Notamacropus eugenii: one gene and its partners. The protein of the gene in region 1 purifies or fractionates together with the protein of each later gene. This does not show direct contact. Links are inferred from orthologs where the notes say so. Each region holds a gene or a part of one and is shown in the gene's direction. Other genes may lie near its edges.

The links. Proteins that work in one complex are often made in the same cells at the same time.
Region 2: the proteins of EPB41L3 (region 1) and PNN purify together in Homo sapiens (co-immunoprecipitation; 3 studies listed by BioGRID and IntAct, with this or other methods). This does not show direct contact. The link is inferred for Notamacropus eugenii from reciprocal best matches to the Homo sapiens genes EPB41L3 and PNN.
Region 3: the proteins of EPB41L3 (region 1) and HSPA12A purify together in Homo sapiens (affinity purification with mass spectrometry; 4 studies listed by BioGRID and IntAct, with this or other methods). This does not show direct contact. The link is inferred for Notamacropus eugenii from reciprocal best matches to the Homo sapiens genes EPB41L3 and HSPA12A.

What each region holds. Positions count from the first base shown.
Region 1 is NC_092875.1:238,189,401-238,196,493, forward strand, and holds the start of EPB41L3 (band 4.1-like protein 3), read left to right. Parts: upstream 1-4,084; 5' UTR 4,085-4,348; intron 4,349-7,093. UniProt on the Homo sapiens protein: Tumor suppressor that inhibits cell proliferation and promotes apoptosis. Modulates the activity of protein arginine N-methyltransferases, including PRMT3 and PRMT5.
Region 2 is NC_092872.1:331,960,996-331,968,827, forward strand, and holds the start of PNN (pinin), read left to right. Parts: upstream 1-4,828; 5' UTR 4,829-4,977; coding exon 4,978-5,090; intron 5,091-6,061; coding exon 6,062-6,133; intron 6,134-6,982; coding exon 6,983-7,051; intron 7,052-7,832. UniProt on the Homo sapiens protein: Transcriptional activator binding to the E-box 1 core sequence of the E-cadherin promoter gene; the core-binding sequence is 5'CAGGTG-3'. Capable of reversing CTBP1-mediated transcription repression.
Region 3 is NC_092872.1:196,119,474-196,127,251, reverse strand, and holds the start of HSPA12A (heat shock 70 kDa protein 12A), read left to right. Parts: upstream 1-4,774; 5' UTR 4,775-5,903; coding exon 5,904-5,943; intron 5,944-7,778. UniProt on the Homo sapiens protein: Adapter protein for SORL1, but not SORT1. Delays SORL1 internalization and affects SORL1 subcellular localization.

The sequences.
Region 1 (7,093 bases):
GCACACTTAAATGAGCATTTGGCCGATGGGACACAAGCATTTTCTCCTTAATCCTCTTGAATTGGATTGTTATGTTGCATAACTTTTCTTTCCCTGTTTCATTCATTCAACAAGCATTCATTGAATACATGTTATGTTCCAGGCTCCATGCTAGGCCCTGGGGATAGAGACAAAAATGAGATTGTCACTGACGTCATGAACCTACCTTCTATTTGGGAAAACAATATGTACACAGAAAATTAAATACAGAATAGTTAGCAAGTAGCTCTGATGTTAGTTCAGGCGTTCATTGCTTCTCAACAAGAGAAGTGTAACAAAGGCTTGCAACAGTCTTCTACATAGTCTCCCTGCCTTATCTCTCCCCTCTCCAATCCTTCACACCGTGGCAATTTGCCCTGGGGTTTGCAAAGCACTTTACAAATTTTATCTCATTTAATCCTCACAACAACCTGTATTACTACCATTTTACAGATGAGGAAACTGAGTTGGAGGTTAAATGACTTGTTCACAGGGCCACATGGCTAGTCTGACACAAGATTTGCATGCTGGTCTTCCTCATTCCAAATTTAACACTATCCATTGTACCACCTAAGATGTCCCTAAGTGCTTTCCTCTCTGTGGTTTCCTTGGAATCTTGAATATACCTATCTATGTATGGGTTATCTTTGTATGTATGAGTTGTCTCTCTGAAGAGCTTTGGTATTGATTGTGTGACATGGGAGATGCTGGCAAAGGACCACCCAGCATGATGTGCCCACATCAAAGATGGCTCTGTTCTCTATGAGCAAAGCAGGATTGCAGTAGCTCAAAAGAAATGTGAGATATGCAAATTTAGAAGCATCTCCATCCCAAATGTTCATATGAACTATTTTTGCCCAACCTGCGGTAGAGCCTTCTGAGCTTGTATTGGTCTGATCAGCCACAGTGGAACTCACTGTAACTTGATTCTAACATAGTGATGTCATTTTGATCTTCTTTGAGAAAGGACAACAACCAACCAATTTCCCCAGCTACAATGTAAGCTCTTCAAGAACAAGGTCTGTTTCCATTCTGCTTTTAAATCTCTAGCTCTTGGTACAATGGTGCTTATTATGCAGGACCCTCATTGATTGATAAAAAATAACTTCTACTGGGAGACCAGTAATTGTGGTTGGGCTGGTGGTGGATATTGGGGTGAAGTCCTATAGGAATTAGCACTTGAGCTGAGATTGGAAGGTATCTAGGGATGCTCTGAAGCAGAGATGAGGAAAGAGAACATTTCAGGCATGAGGCACAGGAATAAAAAAAAAAAATCAATGCAAACTAAAACAATGGGGGCAGAGAATGGGAGGGGAGGGGAGTGGGATTAGACGGGTGATTTCAGAGGTATAGGAAACCTGTTCTGAAGAAGTGCCCTTTGGCAAAGGAGGACACCTGCTCTTCTCAATTGTCTAAAAATGCTACAAACTGTGACTATAAAGCAATATTCCAAGCTACTTAACAGCTACAAAGGTATGCCATATGCCAAGTGCACCTGATTTGTATCTGAAGTGCATGCAACTGGTTCCCTTTTAAGCCTACAGCCTTCCTCACTTCAGTGCCAGGCTGTTAGAAACTGCCTGTTTCCTGCCTTCTCTATATAGAAGCTAGAAGGATGCTGGGACATGGAGTCTGGCTTGAGCTTGCTTAACATACTGCCTAGTCATTCTTAGTGATGTTAATGATGTTTCTAGCTCACTTACATATGCTATACCTGCAGGCTCAAATTGTGGGCACTTCCATAATGGCCTATAAAACATGCTTGGTTGCACAGTTGATTTTTATCATGTTAATAAACTAAGAGATGCCTGGAAATGGCTCTTATTTCACTTCAGAGCACCTGAAACTGGGAACTTTCTGGGAATTCAGGTGACTTCCTAAATCATTTCCATTTTTTCCCTTCAGTTTAGCAGAAACACTCAACAAGACAGTTCATCAGAATTACTGTGGGGTAAAAGATACTGAATGTTTTAAATCAATGGAATAGGAAATCTATAAACTTTCTTTCCAAACATTTTAGTTGGGGAGGTTTAGTGGGGGTGTTTTGGGAAGTCACTAGGAAATGTCTCTTAGTTTGCTTAAGCTGACAAGGATCATATATACGTGTGTGTGTGTTACATATGCACACATATACATATACTTATATATATATATATATACAAATACATACATAGATTTGTGCATACATATGTATATTGGAATGACCCCAGTAGCTTCCCCACTCTGTAAAAGCCTGAGGAATACTCAAAATCTCCTGACAAGGAAGGTGAATCATCCTGTTAGAATAAGAGCAACATTAACTGTGGAAAACCCCTTTTCCTTTCAGTAGAAAATTTGGACATCAGCTAACCCCCTATTTCTCAGGAATCTTCCCTTCCCCCAGAAATATGAATCAGCTCCAGTCTCCGGGCCCAGGTTCTTTGCTCCCTTCCCTCAATTCCTGGCCCTACTAGACCCAGATAAAAGCCCTATAAAAACAAACAAGCAAACCAAAACCTTCCCACACTTTATTGGTTTAGGAAGATGATGCCCCATTCCATCTGAGATCTGAGACCTGCCCTGTGTCCATCCTGCCTGATGGCCCCTTCATTTTGCAAGCATCTCCCCTCAATTAAACTGGCTGGCTTTCCAGTCTTGGCAGGAACTCCATGTTTCCTTAAACTGGGTTTTGGGTACAAAGATTTGGTACAAGAGTTTGTACTAAGACATAATGTGTATGTGTCTATTTTAAAAAGCTCTAGCTAGGCTAGAGTACCTGTTTTGCCCTTATTACAGGTCTTTAGCTCTGAAGCTAACTATATATGAGGGTCAGGTCTTCATTCCTACTCCCAGTCTAAAAGCAGCAATTTTAAGTGCAATGCTAAGCACCTTTTAACTAAGTGCTGATACCTGATGCTTCCCCAAAGCAATAATGCTGCTCTAGGAAAAGATAAAGGGATCATAGAATTGAGGAAGGGCCCTTGGCAATGCGTTTGGTTAGCTTCCTCCTTGTACACAGGAAGTCAGTTGGCAGCGTGGGGATAGAGGAAAGTTTGGCCTCAGAAAGTCTTCTAATCCCTGAATTCTGCTTCTTCCACTCACTACCGTCATGACCTTGGATGAGGGAGTGAAAGGTGAAATTTATCTTCCTTTCCTTGTTGTGAAGTTTAAGTTCATGCGACTCTTAAAAGAATTAGAGTTGCAGCAGGAAAAGATTTCTTCAAAGGCCTCAGTTTCCTGTTCTGTAAATTAAGTTGAACAATGGAATCCTTAAGGTCCCTTTTAGCTCTAATTTAAATGATCTAAGGAAATTTAGACCGGAAAAAGTTTAAATGATTAGTTCAAGGTCGCAACTAAATAAGAAACCCTGCCAGAATTCAAATCCAAATCTCTTCATTCCAAATACAATGCGGTTCCCACACTTCTCTCCTGGAGCTTCTCCCTCTCCTTCCCCTCCGCCTCCCCGCACCCCATCTTAAAACTCTGTATTTTAATCCAACAAAGGTATGATTTGTAAATTGCGGGAATCTTCTGTTTCTCCCTTCCTCCCTTCTCTTTTCTCTCCCTGTCATCTTTCGCCTTCCTTCTTTTAAGATGGAAATAAAAAATTGCGTGCATAGCAGTTCACCCAAATCTTGACTGCTATGACACTCTTTTAAGGGGTTGCAGGCACTTAGCTAAAAAATCATAAGGGTATATTTTCTGTGCATTTCCCTTCTTCTCCGCCCCTTTTACCCCCACCCCCAACACCCTACACTATCTTCACCTCTGCAAAAAAAAAAAAAAAAATACAGCGGGAGCTGGATTCTCTTTCCTCTCAAATGTGCCAGCTCTGAGATCCCGCCTGATTTAAACCCTGGCGAGGCAGTGAGAAAGAACAGCACTTCTGCTGTTCATTGCACAGAGGTAGGGAGAAGCAGAAGAGAGGGAAGGGGAGGCCCCCAAATGAGGGAACGCCTGGAATGATGGGGACAGCCAACTGGGAGGCACTGTGGGTGAGCCGGGGGCGGAGCCGCCGGAGCTGAGGCTGAGCCGCGCGGGCTGTCAGACTCTCCCAGGACTGTGCGCGCTGCAGGTGGGCACTAAGAGGTGCCGCTGCCGCCGCCGCCGCCGCTGCGGAAGCTCCTGGTCTCCTCGGCTCGCTCCCAGAGCCTGCCGCAAGTCCATCCTAGCAGAATACTGGGAGATCGAAACCGGGAAAGTACAAAAAGAGAAAGAGATCTGCTGCCTAGGGACCTGCGAGCAGACCCACCTCTCTACTCTGCACTACTTTTTCCATTGAGGAAGGTTGAATTTAGTGGGAGGAAGCAGGCTCCAGGAGGCAACGGAGGAAGGAGCCTTCTGAACTCAGGTGAGGCATTTCTGCCCCCCATGCTGACCTCCTGGTTCCTAGTTCTAGTCCAGGGCTTGCTAGGCTGGGACACAAGCTGAGCTGGAGGGACCCCCCCTCCCACGCCTGTCCTTGGCTTGAGGTCAATGGGGAAAGGGTGATGGACCAGGGCTAAAGGCGCTGAGTCTGGCTGCCACTTAGCCAGCTCCCGGGAGCAGAATGCTCCGGACTCCCGGGCGTCCCTGTGGAGGCAAGGGACAGAAATAGAGGTGCTGTTTAAGGTGGCAGGGGATTTTTTTTTTTTTTAAGGTGGACAGGCTCCTCTCTTTGCAAGCCTTTATAGACAGCCGCAGCATGTAGCCTCAGCATGGCTGGCTCCTCCATGGCCAAGAGGATGTGCGCCGGTGAACAGCGAAAGTGTAGAAATATTTAATCTCCCCAAAGGAGGAGCCTTTGAAGGTCCTGTGTTTCGACTTGGCAACTTCTCCTCCCGGTATTTCACACCCTCCTTTCTGGTTGCTTCTGCGTTTTGTTTTTAATTTGAATTATGACTTATGCTGATTTGCAAACACTTGAAGTGGCTTAGCTTGCAAGCTCGCTCTTCCCTGCCTTATCCCTTCTCTTCCTGCAGTTTCAACGCCTCCCCATAGAGTTCAGCGGGGCTCTGGGGAGTCGGCTATCATGCAGCCGTCATGTAGTTTGTATGTTAGAGGAAAGGTACCATACTTCTTGGCCGCCTGGAGCTGCGCCGCAGGGAGGGGTGCGTTGGGAATGTAGGCGAGCGCCCCTTGTAGCCTAAATTGGATGTCAATGGAACAGAATCTCAGATTCCAGACCTTGTTGGGCTGGGAGCTTGGCAAGATTGGGATGGAAGTATGGCGCGGGGTGAAGGGGGGCGAACCTTGTTACGTTTTTAATTTTTTTTAAAGCTTGGTATGAGGTATAGGAAGAGGAGGGATTCTAGTCCTACATCTGAACGTTTTCTTTCCCTTAGCCGTTCAGTTCTTGCCTAAAGGTAGTACTAGTTATCCACCTTGAGCATCCAAGCTCAGGATATGTGGGAGAGTTGCGCTCCCGCATGTGCGTGTGCCTGTGTGCGTGTGTGTGTGTGTGTGTGTGTGTTTTCTTGGGAAAATGAAGGCACAGGGAACCCATTCGTTCTCTCTGCTGGGATCTCTAGGACTCTGCCACTCATCGCAGCGTGTGGCCATCATCTTGTCATTCCTAGAAGCTCCAGCTCTGAATCTTCTCTTATCTTTTTTTCTCTTCTATTTTTCCTTAAGCATAAGCATTATCCTGGTTAAAAATAAATTGGTAGGAGGCGGGGAAGGGGAATGGGGGAGGAGAACCAAGGGATTTTTTTTTTAAAGATAAGACGATCTTATTCTTTAAGATAAGGTTTAACTCCCCTATAGTTAACGTTGAAATGGCCAGTGATGCAGGTTTGTGAAATACATCTTCCCACCCTCTCTCCCCCCAAACGAATAGCAATATGTATTTAAGAAGCCCAGAGGGGACCGGGTAGGGGGGCGCTGTTCCTTTCTCAGAATTAAGATCTTTCCCTTGCTTTGGGACTTGCTTTCTCCCGAAGAAGAACCCAGTGGTTGCCCTGCAGCTAAGGGACTGAGGTAGTCGTGTTGCCTAAGTTAATGGATTCCTTGATGGAAGGAATATGCTGCTGAGCCATACCTTTTCCCTCGCCTGGGCACTTAACCTTCAGCAGTTCGAGCAGAAATAAGTAGGTAGAGGAAAACAGGAGTAAAAACGAAACCCTCAAGGGTGCATAAGGCTGATCTAGTTGCTTTCACTCATATCACACCTAAGTCAGAGCTAGAAATTCTGCATGTGCCGATTAATAAGGAAAGATTTGAGTTTCGTTTAAAGTTAGGGAGTGGATCTGCAAATCTATGTGCTGGGGAGGGGGTGGGGAGAGAGGACTGATTGGTTGTATGAGCCAAAGCCCTCACTAGCTGCAGTCGCAGCCACCGCAGCAGCAGCACTCAGCAGCCAGTCGCCCCTTCTGAAATTCCCCTAGCTCAGAGGGACAACATTACTACCAACCTCATCTTTTAATTTTGGAGAACTGGAAAAGCTTTTTGTAAGCTTGCCAGGCTACTTTCAGGCTGGTGACCTTTCTGCACCGGCTGATGGTGATAAGGAGGTGATTTTGGAGTGGGCATTCCAAGCAGCTAAAACATGAACCTGGAGGATTTATTAGATTAGGTTGGAGGATGAGAAACTGTGATTTGTAATGAACACCGAAGGTTTCTGTGTAAAACGGCAAAGCTCAATAATCTTCAAGATGTGATCCTTCTATGCTTCCAGGCTTTCTATTTGTCACTTTCTTTTTATGAAATCAGGTGTTTGAGTAATGGATTAACATTGAGTAGGGCTGGTTGACAGCTCACATGTAATACACTTTGAAGTGCATTGGATTAGGAAAGAACCAAACCTTATTATTGCAGCCAGAGGAGGATGGAATCTACATAAAAAATACAAGTGGAAACAACTCTAACTCCAAATCAAATTTTGCTTTAAATCTGAATTCTATTTGATCAAAAGCAAGCAGTCTGGGAGAACTGTTAATGAATGAGGGTGAAGTGGGGTGTAGTGATTATTAAATTTTCCTTGATAGGCTTTGTAAGAATTCCAATCAGGCCTCTTAATACCCAAATCTGGAATTTCACTGGGGTGAGAGTGGGGAGGGGAGAAGGATTGGGGATTGTATATTTCACAATGCACACAAATGAAACTCAGAAAAGTTCA
Region 2 (7,832 bases), on another chromosome or scaffold:
GATCTTCCTTTGTTTTTCTGAAACCATCCCCTTGCCATTTCTTGTAGTACAATAGTACTCCATCATAATCATATGCCACAACTGGTTTAGACATTCCCCAACTGATGAGCATCCCCTCAATTTCCAATTCTCTGTCACTACAAAAAGAATTGTTATAAATATTTTTGTACATATAGGTCCTTTTCCTTTTTCTTTACTCTCTTTGGGATAGAAACCTAATAGTAATATTGATGGGTTAAAGTTTTATAGCCCTTTGGGTATAGCTCAAAATTGTTCTCCAGAATGGTTGGACCAGTTCATTACTACAGCAGCAGTTCAGTGATGTACCTATTTCTCCCTCATCCTCTTCAGCATTTGTCACTCTTCTAGGTGTGAAGTAATACCTCAGGGTTATTTTAATTTGCGTTTCTCTATTCAATAGTGATTTAGAGCATTTTTTCTTATGAATGTAGATAACTTGAATTTATTCTTCTGAAAACTGCCTCTTTATATCCCTGAGCCTTTTATCAGTTGGGGAATTGGCTCTTATTTTTATAAATTTGACTCAATTCTATACACAATATGTGTGAGAAATGAGTCTTTTATCAGAGAAACTTGCTATAAAATTTTTTTGATATTACTTCATTGTCTATGTTATCTTTCAGCAAAATGTAGTTTTCCTGATTAACTTTTTTGACCTAATTCCAATATAATCAGCTAACACCTATGACTTAATAATGCCTTAATAATGATAAAGTTCTTAGGAGTTACATGTATCATCTTCTCATATAGAAATATAAACTGTTTAATTTTATTGAGCCCCTTATGATTACTCTTTAATGTTTACCTTTTTATAATTCTCTTGAGTCTTAGATTGAAAGTCAAATTTTCCGCTTAGCTCTGGCCTTCTCATAAGGAATGCTAGAAAATTCTCTATTTCACCAAATATCCATTCCCCCCCTCCTCTCTCTTCCCTCCCCTCCATCCCCCCAAGGATTATGCTCAATTGTGCTGAGTAGGTGATTCCTGGTTGTAATCCTAGCTCCTTTGACTTCCAGAATGTCATATTCCAAGCCCTCTGCTCCTTTTATATGGAAGCTGCTAAATACTGTGTGATCCTGACTGTAGCTCCACAATATTTGAATTGTGACTGCTTTAAGTATTTTCTCCTTGCCCTGGAAGCTCTGGAATTTGGCTATAATATTTCTGGGAGTTTTCATTTTGGGATCTCTTTCAGGAAGTGATTGGTGGCAGATTCTTTCAATTTCTATTTTACCTTCTGATTCTAGGATATCAGGGCTGTTTCCCTTGGTAATTTCTTGAAATATGATGTCTAGGCTCTTTCTTTGATCATGGCTTTCAGGTAGTCCAATAATTCTTTAATTATGTCTTCTTGATCTATTTTCCAGGTCAGTTGCTTTTCCAATAATATATTTCATACTTTCTTCTATTTTTTCAATCTTTTGATTTTGTTTTATTGTTTCTTGATGACTCCTGAAGTCATTAGCTCCCATTTGCCCAAATTTAATTTTCAAGGAATTATTGTCTTCAGTGAGATTTTTGTACCTCTTTTTCCATTTGGCCAATTTTGCTTTTTAAGGAGCTCTTCTCTGCAGTGCACTTTTGTGCTTTTTTTTTTAACCATTTGGCCAAGTCTGGTTTTTAAGGTGTTATTTTCTCTAGTATTTTTTGTGTCTCAAAAGAGACACAAAAACCAAACTGTTAATTCTCTTTTCATAACTTTCTTGGATCACTTTCATTTCTTTTCCTCCTTGCTACCACTTTTATCTCTTTCTTTCACTCTTCCAGGAATTCTTGTTGGTTTGGGGCAATCAGCATTTTTTTATTTTGAGGGTTTTTTTGGTAGCTGTTTTCACATTGCTTTTTCTGAGTTTATGGCTTGGTCTTCCCTGCCTCTGTAGTAGTTTTTTAATGGTTAAATTCTTTTTTGCTGTTGTTTCCTCATTTTTCCAGCCTATTTCCTGGCTTTGAACTTTAGGTTAAAATTGGACCCTGCTTATCTGGAGGTGGGAAGGCCTTGGAGTTTGCTTCAGGCTTTTTTTTTTTGTGTTGCTGTTTTTAGAGCTAGCTCTAGGGTTCTACAAGTTTTTGTTACTTTCAAGCTGGTGTGATCCTGGGAAAGGTGTGGTCACTGTTCCCCTGGTCTGGGCTCTGATCTTTACCCAGGAATAGTCCATGGTCCCCTGCAGTTACAAGCCTAATGTTCCTCTTTGCTTTGAAACTATGTGACCTAGGCACCTGCTCCACTGTGTCTGACTTCCAGCACTCCTCTCTGCTCTGGAACTGTGAACCAGAATTACCTATAAAATAGAGTTGCCAATCAGCACTAGCTGCACCTAGAGCCAGCAAAGGGTCCCTCTGATTTCTTTCTGAGCAGTCCTTTGACCCTCTTTATGTCTCTGGGCTGAGAGCTCCCAAAGCTGCTGCTGTTGCCATCACTGTGTGTGTGGGCTCCAGACAGGCTTCTACCCCAGTGTTACAGACTTTTCTTGCCAACAACTTATGTTTCCTAAGATTTGAAAAGGTGTCTCACCCTAACCTTTTGTTGACTCTACTACTACAAAATTTTATTTGAGGCATTATTTTAAAATTATTTGGAGGGGAATGTTGGGAGATCTCAGCTGGTTTGCTGCACCTAATATGCCATCTTGGCTCCAGCCCTGTTCTCCTCTTTTTTGAAAAGCCAAACCAAAACTTTAAGTGATTTTCCCACAAGGTACAAAGTGAGGTATAAAGAACTGGAAAGTTTGAGGCAAAGAGTCTAGCCTCTTTCTTTAGAGGTCAGGATCATCTCAGGACTGAACTTGGCTTGTATATATGGTTCTAGAGCTAGGAACCCCTTGATGGATGAAAAGAATCACCCTGGACCAGTGCCAGAAGTATCATTATATGTATATATTTTATATAAACTTATGTAACCTCAAATTGCTAAGACCTAGAATCACAGAGAATTTGGAGATCCTTTCTAGGATCACAGAACCTTTGGAAAATCTCTCTAAGATCATGGAGAATTAGGAGGACCTTCCTGTGATAATAGCATCCTAGGGCTGGACTATTCATAGGCACTCAGGAGAGCTCAGTCTAGTATCCTGGAGGAAAAGACATCTACTTAAGTTTGGGGGTAACAGAGAGGTAGGAATGAGATAAGTAGATAAGCATATAGATCAGAGAGTAGGAGGAGTTGAGACCATGTTGAATTGGCAACTATGGCAATTGGTAAGAGTAGAAGTGGAGTCAGTGGTTTCTTCACATTTTTTTTCTACAGCATAATGCTGGGAAAATTTCACTCAAAAGTTTAAATTTTAACCTTTTGCTTTTTAGTGGCTCCCCCACCTTCACAAGCTGGGAGTAGGGTGGAGGAGAGGTGACTTTAACTGTGAGTCTCATTGCAGATTTATATACTTTGTTGTATATATTTATCTTCATGTAACACCCTGTTGTAATAATTAGCTCAGTTTTAGGGAATTTACTTTGGATGAAAAGTTCTGAATTCAGTCATAAGCTTTTTTGAGACCTCAGGAAAAGTTACTAAAGTGTTAAGCGGAGGCTAGGTACTCTGCCAAACCTTACATTTATATCTGTCTCTAGTTAATCACTGCCATATTTGTGGTTGAGGAAAAATTTAATTTACAATAATTTAAATTTACCCAAATTTAACATTTAGGTAAGAAACAGATTATAGAATGTCTTTGGAGAATCAGGAACTAGGAAGGGAAGTTGGGGAAACATCTCATCCTTTACTAGAACTTCTCTCAGCCTGGATCCTCCTCTCTGTGCTGCCTGTAGAACTCAGGGATTCTACTTAATATATTCTCAGATTAATATATTCTCTACTCAATGCTTCTCCGCCATAGTTCAGAATTCTCTTTGCTCCATCCTTCCTTCAACCTCTTGAATCCAAACAAAATGTCTTCTTCCCCAATTTAAAAGTAGTTTCTCCCTTTAATAAACAGTGCTTAGGGTATGACCCAAGTCTTTCACACAATGGCCTTGTGACTCACCCAAGGTCTACAGGCCTTGTTCACACAGTTCTGATTCAATCAAAAAAAGTGAAAGTAATCAAAGCACTAAACCCAAATGGGGTGGATTTGGTTTACCTTCATGTTGCTTCACACTACTAATAAAGTATGTAGCCATTAGCAATAATTTTGTCCAAGTCCATAAGTTGATTCAAGATTGAGAGGCCCACAACACAAGATATTTCCTTGATTTTAGTCTAGCGTGAAGGCCAATTTGTGAGTCTTTGCAATTTTGGTCATTTCTGATAACGTTCCAGAGTATATCCGCTAGACGACTTTTGAACCCTGAGATTTTAATGAACGGACAGTCATGGCAGAAAGTTATGAAGGTATGGAGGCTGGCACTGAGTCAGCCCCAAAGCCCACGGGCACGTGGACACGGTCATGGCCCATAAGAGCTCCTCTTCTCTGTGTGAGAGAAGGCAGGTACTCTCTTCCTTTCTCTTTCTTTTCCTTGGGGAGCCCAGCACGCTGCTGAAACATAAATGTTGGCATGAAGCTTAGCAAGGAGATGAGGGATGGATGTGGAGGTCTGAGTCACATCCCATTCTTCCTTCCATCCTCCCCATTAATGCATAAAAATAGCCCCCATTCACATGAAATGTTACAGAGGACAAGGAGAAGGGACTTGGTGAACTTGAAACCTACAAGCTCTGGCAGATACCGCCCTCCAGTAAATGAAAGACCTCCAGCCCCGCCTCCTCCCGAACTCTGCACGCATCACTATTCCCAAAAGGAAGCCACCCCATTGGCTGCACAGGTTGCCGCCTTGTGGCTTTATTTATTGGTCAAGTCTCTGTAAGTGAGTTAGTTCCGCCCCTGAAGTCTCTAAGTGGCCGACGGCCGAGAGCAACCCCGCTCCTGATTGGCTAATTCTAACTATCACTCCCGGCCTGATCTCGCGACGCGGGACGACCTGGCTTGAGAGCTGCCTCCGCACCAGCCACGGGTGGAGAAGATGGCGGTCGCAGTGAGAACTTTGCAGGAGCAGCTGGAAAAAGCCAAGGAGAGCTTAAAAAATGTGGATGAGAATATCCGGAAGCTCACCGGCAGGGACCCTAATGACGTGAGGTGAGGTTCCCCTGAAGGGCTCTCGGCGCCATTGAGGACGCGGGGCCTGGGCGAAGTGGGGGCAGGGGAGGCGGCGAACCCTGGGCCGCATCGGGAGAGGGCAGGAGCAGCCGGACCTTTACCGGGGCGGGGGGGCGACTGCAGGGCCGCCTCCCCCTGGGCAGGGGCGGCTCTGAGACACCGTCGCCGCCCTGCGTTGGTCTCGTGGTCTTCAGGGGAGGGGGAGTGGTGAGGGGAACGCGGGTCGTGTGGGAACTGCAGCCGGAGAGGCCTGCGGAAAGGCCGGGCCCCGGTGCCCCTGCCTCCCGCTCCCAGCCCGGCTAACCCACGAGGTGCTGCAGCCCCCGGCGAGCTCGCCGCAAAGGCTCACGGCCTTCCTCGGCCCTCCTGGCCCCAGGCGGAGGCACTCCCGGCGGCCCCCGGACCGCTCAGCTCGGGCGCTCCACGATGAAGCCTCCAGACCACGTTTTGGCTTCCTGTTCCTCCCTGCAGGTTGGCGGCAGGGTCTTATTTTCCTCCCTGGCCTTACTATATGTATATGTAAATATATGTGTGTATACATGTCCGTATGAAGAAGAGTTTGGTATGTTTCTACTCAGCCCTTGTGTATAAAGGAGATTTCGGACGTTTCACCTCCACTCTTGGCCTGTATAAATCACGAATGGGGGGAGTGATATATTAACTGTCGTGAATTTGTAAACCAGACTTGGCTAGGCCAACCCGACATGGGAATTTGGGGGGCTTTGAGGTTGTGTCGAGCCCGTACTTCTTTCTAATTAACATCTGTAAGAAAATACTTAATGGGGTAACCTTAATCTAAAAATCACCAACATCTACCGAATACGTTTAAGAGGTCTACTTAAGTGATTTTCCTTGTTTAAAATTTATTTCCTTTTACAGTTGATTCGGTGGTTCTTTTACATGTATAAGCTGTTGTTTCACAGTATACCAATTCCCAACTCTCTTTACAGACCCATCCAAGCTCGATTGCTCGCTCTCTCAGGCCCTGGTGGAGGTAGGGGTCGTGGTAGTTTATTGCTAAGGTAAGTGCCACCTCTCATTTCTCTTGAACTGAACTTCTTACTAAGTCATATAAAAAAATAACAGCCATTAAAGTTTTAAATTCATGGTGGATTCTGATGTAAAAAAAAAAAATTTAAGTCTGGTTTACTCAAATTGCTTAAACCTCACTGCTCTCTAGAAAATTCTATAAGAAGATAAATTGTAGATAAGATGCCAACCTGCATTAATAGAGGGAGTTTCCTCACCTGGAAATTCCTGTTTTTTGTGAAATCACTGGTATAGTCCCTATCCTTTATACTTTAAGTCTCACCTTTAAAATTCTCTTATGTTATCTTAACTATTGAAGGTACCTTGAGCACTTTTTAGACCTCTTGTCTTTAAAACACTAGCTTAGAGTTTAACATACAACTTATTAAAATTTAGATGGGGTTTTTTAAACCTTTTTTTTCAGAAGTACTAACACTGGTTAAATATTTCAAGTATTTCAATATGTTTGAATTTTGGAACTGTCTTTTGTGTGTTATTGGGACTTGTAAAATTTAGTTCTTTAAATTCTGTTACATAACAAATTAAGTTTGATGAGAAATGGAAATAGCTAAGAGGAAATATATGTCATTTTAAGGTCTTTGAGTTCTCCACCACCATCTTTTGGTAAGGGAGAGATCTAGCATTCTAGAATTAATTATTCTTCACCTTATGTAAGGACTTTCTTACTGCACTCTTTTGGCTTTTTTTTGGTATGTTCATTCTAAGGATATTTTTAAAATAATGTATTCAACTGATTATTTGTAATTTCATTGTAAAAACTGGTGTGTATACACCCTCCCCTTCCCCCCTTAAGATAAAGTCTTGATATTTTTCCATTTTAGGCGTGGATTCTCAGATAGTGGAGGAGGACCCCCAGCCAAACAGAGAGACCTTGAAGGGGCAGTCAGTAGGTATGTGGCAGTAATTGTAGATTCCATTTTCTTGAAATATGATACAAAATCAATTTCATTCAGTTATAGATGCTCAATAATCTGGTATTATCAGAGTTGTTTTGAAGATCAAATGAAACGTATGTAAAGCCTTTGTAATTCTGGCTAAATAAATAGCAGCTGTTGTTATTACTTGGTGATTTGACTATATAGTATACACCAGGAGCTGGGAACCTGTGGTCTCCAGACCACATATGACCTTATAGGTCCTCAGGTGTGGCCTTTTGACTGAGTCCAAGTTTTACAGAACAAATCCTTTTATTAAGGGGATTTGTTCTGTGAAGTTTGGATTTGATCAAAAGGAGTTGAGGGCCTTTGCTACTTTAAAGACTTAAAAGTCTAAGTGAGCCTAGACAGGCAATCTCTGGCCAGGATTCCTTAAGAATTCTAGACCTCTTAAATTATGTACTCCGTGAAAAAACTGAAATGTTTAAGAAAAAACCCGTAAATATTTCCAGTGCTTCTGTCCCCTACCTACTTTTTTGCTTTCTTGGTTGAACTATTCTCAGTATGGGAATCCAGCTTCAAGTGTGTCACCTCATTTCCATTACCTTGTATTCAATATCAGATTCTCAGTATCAGTTTATTTAAGTTTGTTGACTTGAATTTCTATTGCTTCCCTAAAATTTCTGATTATTGGGCCTGAGTGATAAAGTAATTTGTAGATAGTAATGGTTGTTCATGAATTTATCAAGGCTATTTTTTCCAGTTCATTTTTATATAATATCTAAAATATTTCTTT
Region 3 (7,778 bases), on another chromosome or scaffold:
CTATAGTATCTTTGCCAAGAAAAACCCAAATGGGGTCACAAAGAGTTGGGCATGACTGAAATGACCGAACAACAACCGCAATAAAAGATGCCAAATGTCTTGTTATATAATTTATTTACGGCATCCCCTAATCTAAATGTTTGGTAACTTAAAAAAAAAGGTAACAAGATTAGTTTGACATGTTTTGTGATTGAATCCATACTAGCTCTTCGTGATCTTTGCTTCACCCTGCCTTTTTAAGTTCTTACTAATCATTTTTAATGGTGTGTTATGCAATTGTGTTATTAATTAAAGTCAAGCTTACTCACAAGTTTATAGTTTAATAATCTACTTTTCCCCTACTCCCTTCTGAACATCAGGGCATTCTTTCCTCATCTCTAGTTCTGTGGCAATTTTCTTATCCTCTGTGATTTTTCAAAGATAATTGACAATTGCTCAGCAATCATGTCAATAACGTTTCGTAGTGTTCTGATACTGTAGTTCATCCACTCTATTGAAGTCCTCTTGAGCGTGACTAGGGGCCTTCTTACCATCTCTTAACTTATGGGTTTCAATTATTGATCAATTTTGTTCCATAGTTTTCATTCTGAAAACCATTCTCTGTGGCATCAATAACAAAAGCAAAAAACAAGTATTGAAGTTCTCTCTTCAGTTTGTAATTTACTCCTTCTAAGCAGCAATAGTGTGCCTTATTTGATCTTTCTCTTGTCCTTAATATAATTGAAAAAAATATCCTTTTTGTTGTCCTTACTATTCATTGCCAACCTAAGTTAATGCTGGTCTTTAGCATCCCTTACATTATAATATTGGGCCATTTTCCTTCCTTTTGCTTCTCCCTTCTGTATGTAGCCTTTAAAAATCCAAGTGGGTTTGATTAGCTCACATTTACCTACATAAGTGTCTTTAGAAAGTTTCCCCTCCTCGTTGCTCATCGTAGCAACTTCTGTTTATGCCACAAGAATTTCATTCTTCAGAGCATCCCATCTTTTGGAATTGACTTCCCATGAAGAAATTTAGGTCATGGGATTGCATCTGTTATTTCCCTGAACTCTTGGAAATCTGCCATCCCCAGATTTAGTATACATGTGAGATTATGCATTGCCTTCCCTTCTCTTCCATGTACTGTCAGATTCTGTGGTCTCCTTCTCCCAAGAGTCCTTCTATTTATACTTTGGCAACCAATACCTTCACAGTGGTCAGCATCAGGTTCAGAATTATTTTCTTCATGGCTTGCTCGAGCTTTTGAATAATGAAACAATCATTCAGACAAGTCAAAAATTTATCAGCTGCTCTTTTTATTTTTAGAATTTTGATCTGTAATTAGCAAGCCATTTACAGACATGTAGCCTGTTTCTGAGTTTCTAAAATGGGAATAAGAGCATTACCTACCTTACCCAGATGTTGTTAAAAGAATGCTTTCTCAACTTTAAACTTTTACATAAATACGAACTATTGCTTTTTTCCCCTGAAAGGTTTTTTTGTATTTGCATGTTGTGCTCATCTCATTCCTGTTAAATCAATCTTATTTTATTAAAAGTAAAACTCATTTTATTAGGTCTCTTATAAATGGGTCACTTGCCATAATACTTAGTTCATAGGCAGAACTCCAAGTACTGTATATCTCAGAGTATAAATCACTTTGAAGTATCAGTCAACCTAAAATTTCCTCTATTGAAATTCAGAATTGGATCTACACTTAATGCTGCAGTAAAGGGAACTTTAACAGCAGGATAAGTATGGTACTATTGAGGTTCCTGGTGGTTAACATGTGGCTCAGCAGCTGGCCAGAAGAGGTTCTGTTGGACATAATAATGGTGCAGCATATCTGCATAGCACTTGGTAGTTTCACAAATGGGTTATCTCATTTGACCTTCACAATAACCCTGTGATAGGGAGGCCAGGTATCCTAATCTTCCTTCTATGAGTAAAAACCAAGACCCAGAAAACTGAAGTGATTTGCCTAGGGTCACATGACAGAAGAGCTGAGAACAGAATCCAGTAGTTCAGTACTTTGTTTCCTTAACTGCTTTCTGGATGAAACTGTTTAAAAGTGAGAGTGAGGTGGAGTCATCTGCTCCCATGCCCAATGCATTGAGTCAACTCCAATTTAAGAGAAGCTTTAAAAAAAAAATGAGATTCAATTCAATTATTAACTGTCTGCTATAGGGAAGGCACCATGGTAAGTTCTGAGGATGAAGAGAGAAAATAAAAGGTTAAGTTACATGCTTTGATGTATGAGGACATTCATGGAGGCTGCATATTACAAATCAAACACAGAATAGGTGTTGCCTTTTCTGTTTTACTGTAAATGAAGCTGTTAATTTCTTACTCTCCTGAGGACCAAAGGTCATCCATTGTACTCCCATCCCCTACCTCTCAGCCTCCATTCACTCATACTTTTCTTAACATTAATGCGAGTTGTAGGCACTTGGTGAGGATGGAACCCTGCCGCTGGTATTCTGGAGTCACACTGGAGATGGGCAGCACTATTTCCAGCTGGACATCATTTAGGCAGCTGTCAAACAGACTTTCTTTATGTTTGTATGTGCTGTCCCTGAGAGTCAAGCCCTGCCTATCTCAGCTACGTTTATAAGCTGCCAAATATAAAATGGCTTTGCTAGGCAGACAGGGATGTGGCTTGGTTATGGGGTAAAATAATAGAATGTTAGTGCTAAAAGGGACCCTAGGGATCATCTAGGCCTCACTGTCCAGTGAAGTGAGGGCTCTGCACAAAGTAGGCAGTCAGTAAATATTCGATAATGAAGTGAGGATGCTCTTGTCTGTCATACCCCAGATTCTGCAGGTGGGGAAACTGAGGCTCAGAAAAATTAAAGGACTTAATCCAGGTATAACAGAAATAGTACCAGCTTCAAAATGAGAAGATATGGGTTTGAGTCCCTTAGCTCTGACACTTAATAGCTGTGTCACCTTGGGCAAGTCCTTTAAATTCTCTGGGCCTCATTTTCCTCCTCTGGAAAATGAGGGAGTTGAGCCAGATAATCTCCAAGGCTTCCTTTTCTCAGAAATACCTGCAAGAAACATCATCATCATCATTTAGTGCTTTAAAGTATGTAAAACAACAAAAACGTTTATATGTGTTAAAAGTTTATCTCATTTGATCATACAACACTCTTGCAGGATAGGCTCTCATTTTACAAATAAGGAAACTGAGGCAGAGAGAAGTTAGGTAACTTACCCAGGGTCACATATGTAGTATGTATCTGGGGTGGAATCTGAAATTAGGTCTTCCTGCCTCCAAATGTAGCACCCCTGATTATGCACCTAGCTGCTACACCATCAGCATTTGAATCTGGGTCCTCTAACTAAAAATCTAATGACTTTTTTCAAACTCAGGTTTCCTCTTCAAAGGGAAAACAGAGCATTAGTGAAGGGCTTTCTTTCTTTTTCCTCTACTCCAATCCCTCTCCCCCTTTAGGGCTCTGTCTCCAACATTTGCTGTACATTTTCTCATCCTTAAGTCACATTCAGATATTCAACCATATTCTCACAACTTTGTTCTCTTCTCGTTCAACATTTTTTTAGTTCTTGTCTCTAAGGACCCTGGGTGCTCCAGCAATAAGGAATGATTTTTGGTAACTACTCTGTAGGTAACAGTGATCAAGAGATGCCACTGACTTTCTCCTGTGAGAGATGCTGAAAGCTACAAGATGCAATGGGTTCCCATTTTGTATGTAAGGGAGGACATTGGCTTGCCCACAAAACATGGATCAGAGATTTAGAGCTGGCAAAAAGGACCTCTTAAATGGTGATATTCAGTTTTCTCTTTTAACAGTAGGAGGAACTGAGGCCCATGTTTGAAACCATGCAATTATTAAATGAGATGCAAGATTTGAATGAATGTTTTCTGACATCAAATCCAGGGATACTTGATCAGAACAAGTAGATTCACAGTCAGAAAGAGAAAGTCGGGAAAGCTATCCTTCACCTACTCTTTCCATATTAAAAACTGCATAAAGACCTATGCAATTTAGTCTTAATTTCTCCAGCCCCAGAGGGGCAGCTAGGTGGTGCAGTGGATAGAGCACCAGTGCAGGAGTCAGTAGGACCTGAGTTCAAATCTCACCTCAGACACTTGACACTCACTAGCTGTGTGACCTTGGGCAAGTCACTTAACCCCGATTGCCTCATCTTGTCATCTCCAAGTCATCCTGATGAATATCTTGCCACTGGATTCAGATGGCTCTGGAGGAGAAGTGAGACTAGTGACCTGCACAGACCTTCCGCACTCAAAACAAAGTCAAGTGCAAGTCATGTCATTATTTCTCTGATGGCATGGTCTTCGGCAAGGAAGGACGAACACATACTCCGGCTACGGCTATAACCTTGGGGAATCATTCCTTCTATTCCTTCAGGCATTAATTCAAAGAGGTAAAGCTGGGTTCTTGCTAAAGATCTCTCACTTCCACCAGCTGGCCTTACTTGCCCCATAAGTATTCCTAGTATCCCACAAGTTCAAAATTCAAGAACAAGACCCTGAGAAAGCATCTATTTGGACCTTACCTCAGAAAGGTTGATGGTTATAGAAAAGGTCAGGAACTAATAAGGTGACTGGTCCATCCGTACAAAACAGGGTCAACAGTTAGGTTTGTAAAGAAGTTGGATGGGGGAATGGTTCATGTGGATTAATGAATTCATTACGGAGGCCTGGCAATACCATTATCATTATTCTTGGAGCTTTAAGAGGGACCGAATCTGAACCCACATATGGAAAGTAGCATGCGGCATCCAAGAAAACTTGGGCAAACAGTTGCTATGGAGTTTTTTTATTCTGGATTATTCACAACACCTACAGTCGAAGCTATATTCAGGCAGCCCAGCACCAGATTGAGTACTGCAGGCACTGCCTTGACATTCAGAGAGAGCTTCTATTTCTGGACTATTGGGTGGCTCAAAGTAGCTGCATAATCGATGGTCTCAAGAAAGTACGTTTTCATTCTACGGAATTTTAGAATCTTAAGTTAGAAGGGTCCTTTGAGATCTATCCCCACCTTGATCTGCAGCTTGAATTTCCGTTTCTTTTTTGCATTTTTATCTCCTACGTATTTGTCTTCTCTTTATTTAATGCTTCTCTTTCCCCTCATTGGCGACAAAAGTCATAGGTTTGCATTAGACATATCCTCTTTGGGTGCCGTTTGGTTTAAAACGCCAGGGCCTTCTGGTTCTTGACAAGGCTGTGGTTCCCAAAGTGAGGGGAAAACGTAATTGGGACTGCTTGAGGAGGAACTGAACTTGAGACTGCAGTCAGGGTTAATATAGCAAGCGTCAGGGTTTCCTGACCGGAATCAGAATGCGGAGCGCGTAGCTATCTTTAAGAGTTTCAGCTTCTGACAACAGAAAGCTACAGTAATTACGAAGTCCGTCAGATTGCTGTCTCTGCACCCACTAAGGAACTCTATGCCTTGGGTGGGATCCGGAGTCAGAGACAGATCTTAGCCAAGAGGGTCTCTGGATCAAGGACCGGGCGCGGGGTGGGGACCGGGTGCGGGGCGAGCTGCGTAGAGAAAAAGAATCTGGAATGGGAGGGGCCCTGCAGAGAGGAGGACAAGGGGAGGGGAAGAAGGGCCTAAAGCTCCAGGGTCAGACACTGAGACTTCCCTCTGGCTCCGAGAACTGGGAGGTGGGAGGCAGGGACTTTCTGGGGACCGCTCCTCTGACCGACGCAGAGGCTTCAGTATCCAGAGCTGGAGCGGGAGGCGGGGGGAGGCAGGAGGAGGAGGAGGAAGGAGGCGGGGAGGAGGAGCCGCCGCCTCCGCGTCAGAGCCTCGCACTGCCCAATGGCTCGGACCCCAGAGTGAGCTGCGAGCCGAGGAGCGAAGCCGCGGACTAACGCCGGGGCTGGCTGGGAAGCTTTTCATTCTGGGCTGTGCGGGTCAGGCGCAACCATGTCGGAGAAGGAAGCCGGGAGCGATGCGGGGCCCAGAGGTGAGCTCGCTCCTTCGCTCGCTTACTTGGCCAGGCAGGGACGGGCACCGGGAATCTCACCTCGGCCAGCGCCGCAGCAAGGACACAGGCGGGCGGGTGGGAGGGAGGGAGGGACAGAGGGAGCAGCCGGCGGCCGGCCGGCCCTCAGGGGCGTAGTGGGTGGAGCTGGAGCATTGTCAGCATCCCCTGCCTCCGCATCCTGGATCCCCCACCTAGTGCTCGGGCTCTCCATCCTTCTATCCAGGTTGGAGGCTTGGAGATGGAGCGGACGGGGATGGGGAGGGGGTAGTCTAGCCCTAATTCAGGCTGGAGTCCTGACTAGCTTGGAAACGTCCCCCGTGATCCTCCCTCTCTATCCCACCAGTTCCCCAGGGCTCTTGCCAGAGGCGCAGGGAAGGGAGACGCTCGGGTCGGTCTTTGGGCTCTCTAAGCTTTGGGGCTGGGATCTGGGAGCCCGGCACTGGGAAGCAGAGGCCAGATCTGTCACGTGTTCCCTTCCCTTCGGAGGAGACTCTGCAGCAGGGACCGCAGTCCCCCACCCCGCCCCCCTCCTCCCATTCGAGAGCCCAGGGGGCTTCCTCGCCGGGCTCTCCTCCTCCCTGCCCCCCACTGCTCCACTCTGCTTTGCCTGACGCCGCGGGATTGCACACAGCACACGCGACTCCCAAAGGCCGGCAATGCAGCAGGCGAAGTGATCTAGGTGGAAAAAAATGAGGGAGGAAGATCCTGCGCCCCATCCTTCTCCCCAAGTTCATTTTGTTCCCACGCGCCCTCCCTGGGTTGGGGCTCTATGTCTGCCTGTACTAGCGAGAGTAACCCACCTTTCCCCTACTAGGCGGTTTCCATGGTCCAAGGCAGCTCTCTTATCCACCCTTCACCCACCTCCACCCCCACGCACCTCTGGACTCATTAGCTTCCTGGAAGCCACGGAAGTGTCTAAAGAATTTGCTGGAGAAGAGACCTTATAATATAGTCTCTCCCGAGCATAAGTAGCAGATTGTAGCAAATAGTTACCCTTAGCCACACATTTTTCTCCAGACTCATCTTTCCAGAAGATGAAAAAAAGAAGGGGAGGGTAGTGGAGCATGGGACAGAGGCAAGAAATGTTAGAGCTCTGAATAGTGAAAGAAAAAGTGGATTACCCTACACCCTTTTTCATTTCTAACACTTTCCTTCCTTTCTTTTCTCCTTCCTTCACTCTACCCTCCTTCCTCCATCCTCCCCCATATACCTGCACCATTTGAATGTACCACAGATCTATCTCCAGATGGGTCTGATCTGTTCTGAGTGGTTCAGAGAACATTGTAATGACGACCTTTTTCTGAATAAGTGCTCTAGGTGTGTGGGGTCAGGGGAGGGGAGTCCTTGCTGTGGGGGTAGGACTGTAACTTGTATGTAGCTGAATGCTGGAGGTTTAGAGTGGTTGCAGGACTGCAGTGCTCATTCAGCAAAAGAGACAGATGGCTTCCATTTTGAAAGGACGATACACAGTGACAGAGATCTCTTGGTGTAGTAGATGGAGAGCTAGCCTCAAAGCCAGAAAGAACTGGGTTCTAGGCTTCTCTTTGACATATACTGGCTTTGTTGTGTTGGACAAGTTACTTAGCCTCTCAGAGCTCACTCAGGATTAAAAATTACAGTGAAGGTGCAAACCTGGTTGGTAAAGGGAGTTTCCTCACTCAGGAGTTCTCTGTAACAATTAAATCATAAGTCCAGTACTGTCTCTTAATGAAGAACAGCTCATCTTATTGGGGAGGGTAATTAAAATGGGGGGGGGGGGTTTAGTGGGATTTAGGAACTTTTTTTACAACTTACTTATTTCAAAGTGAAAAGTA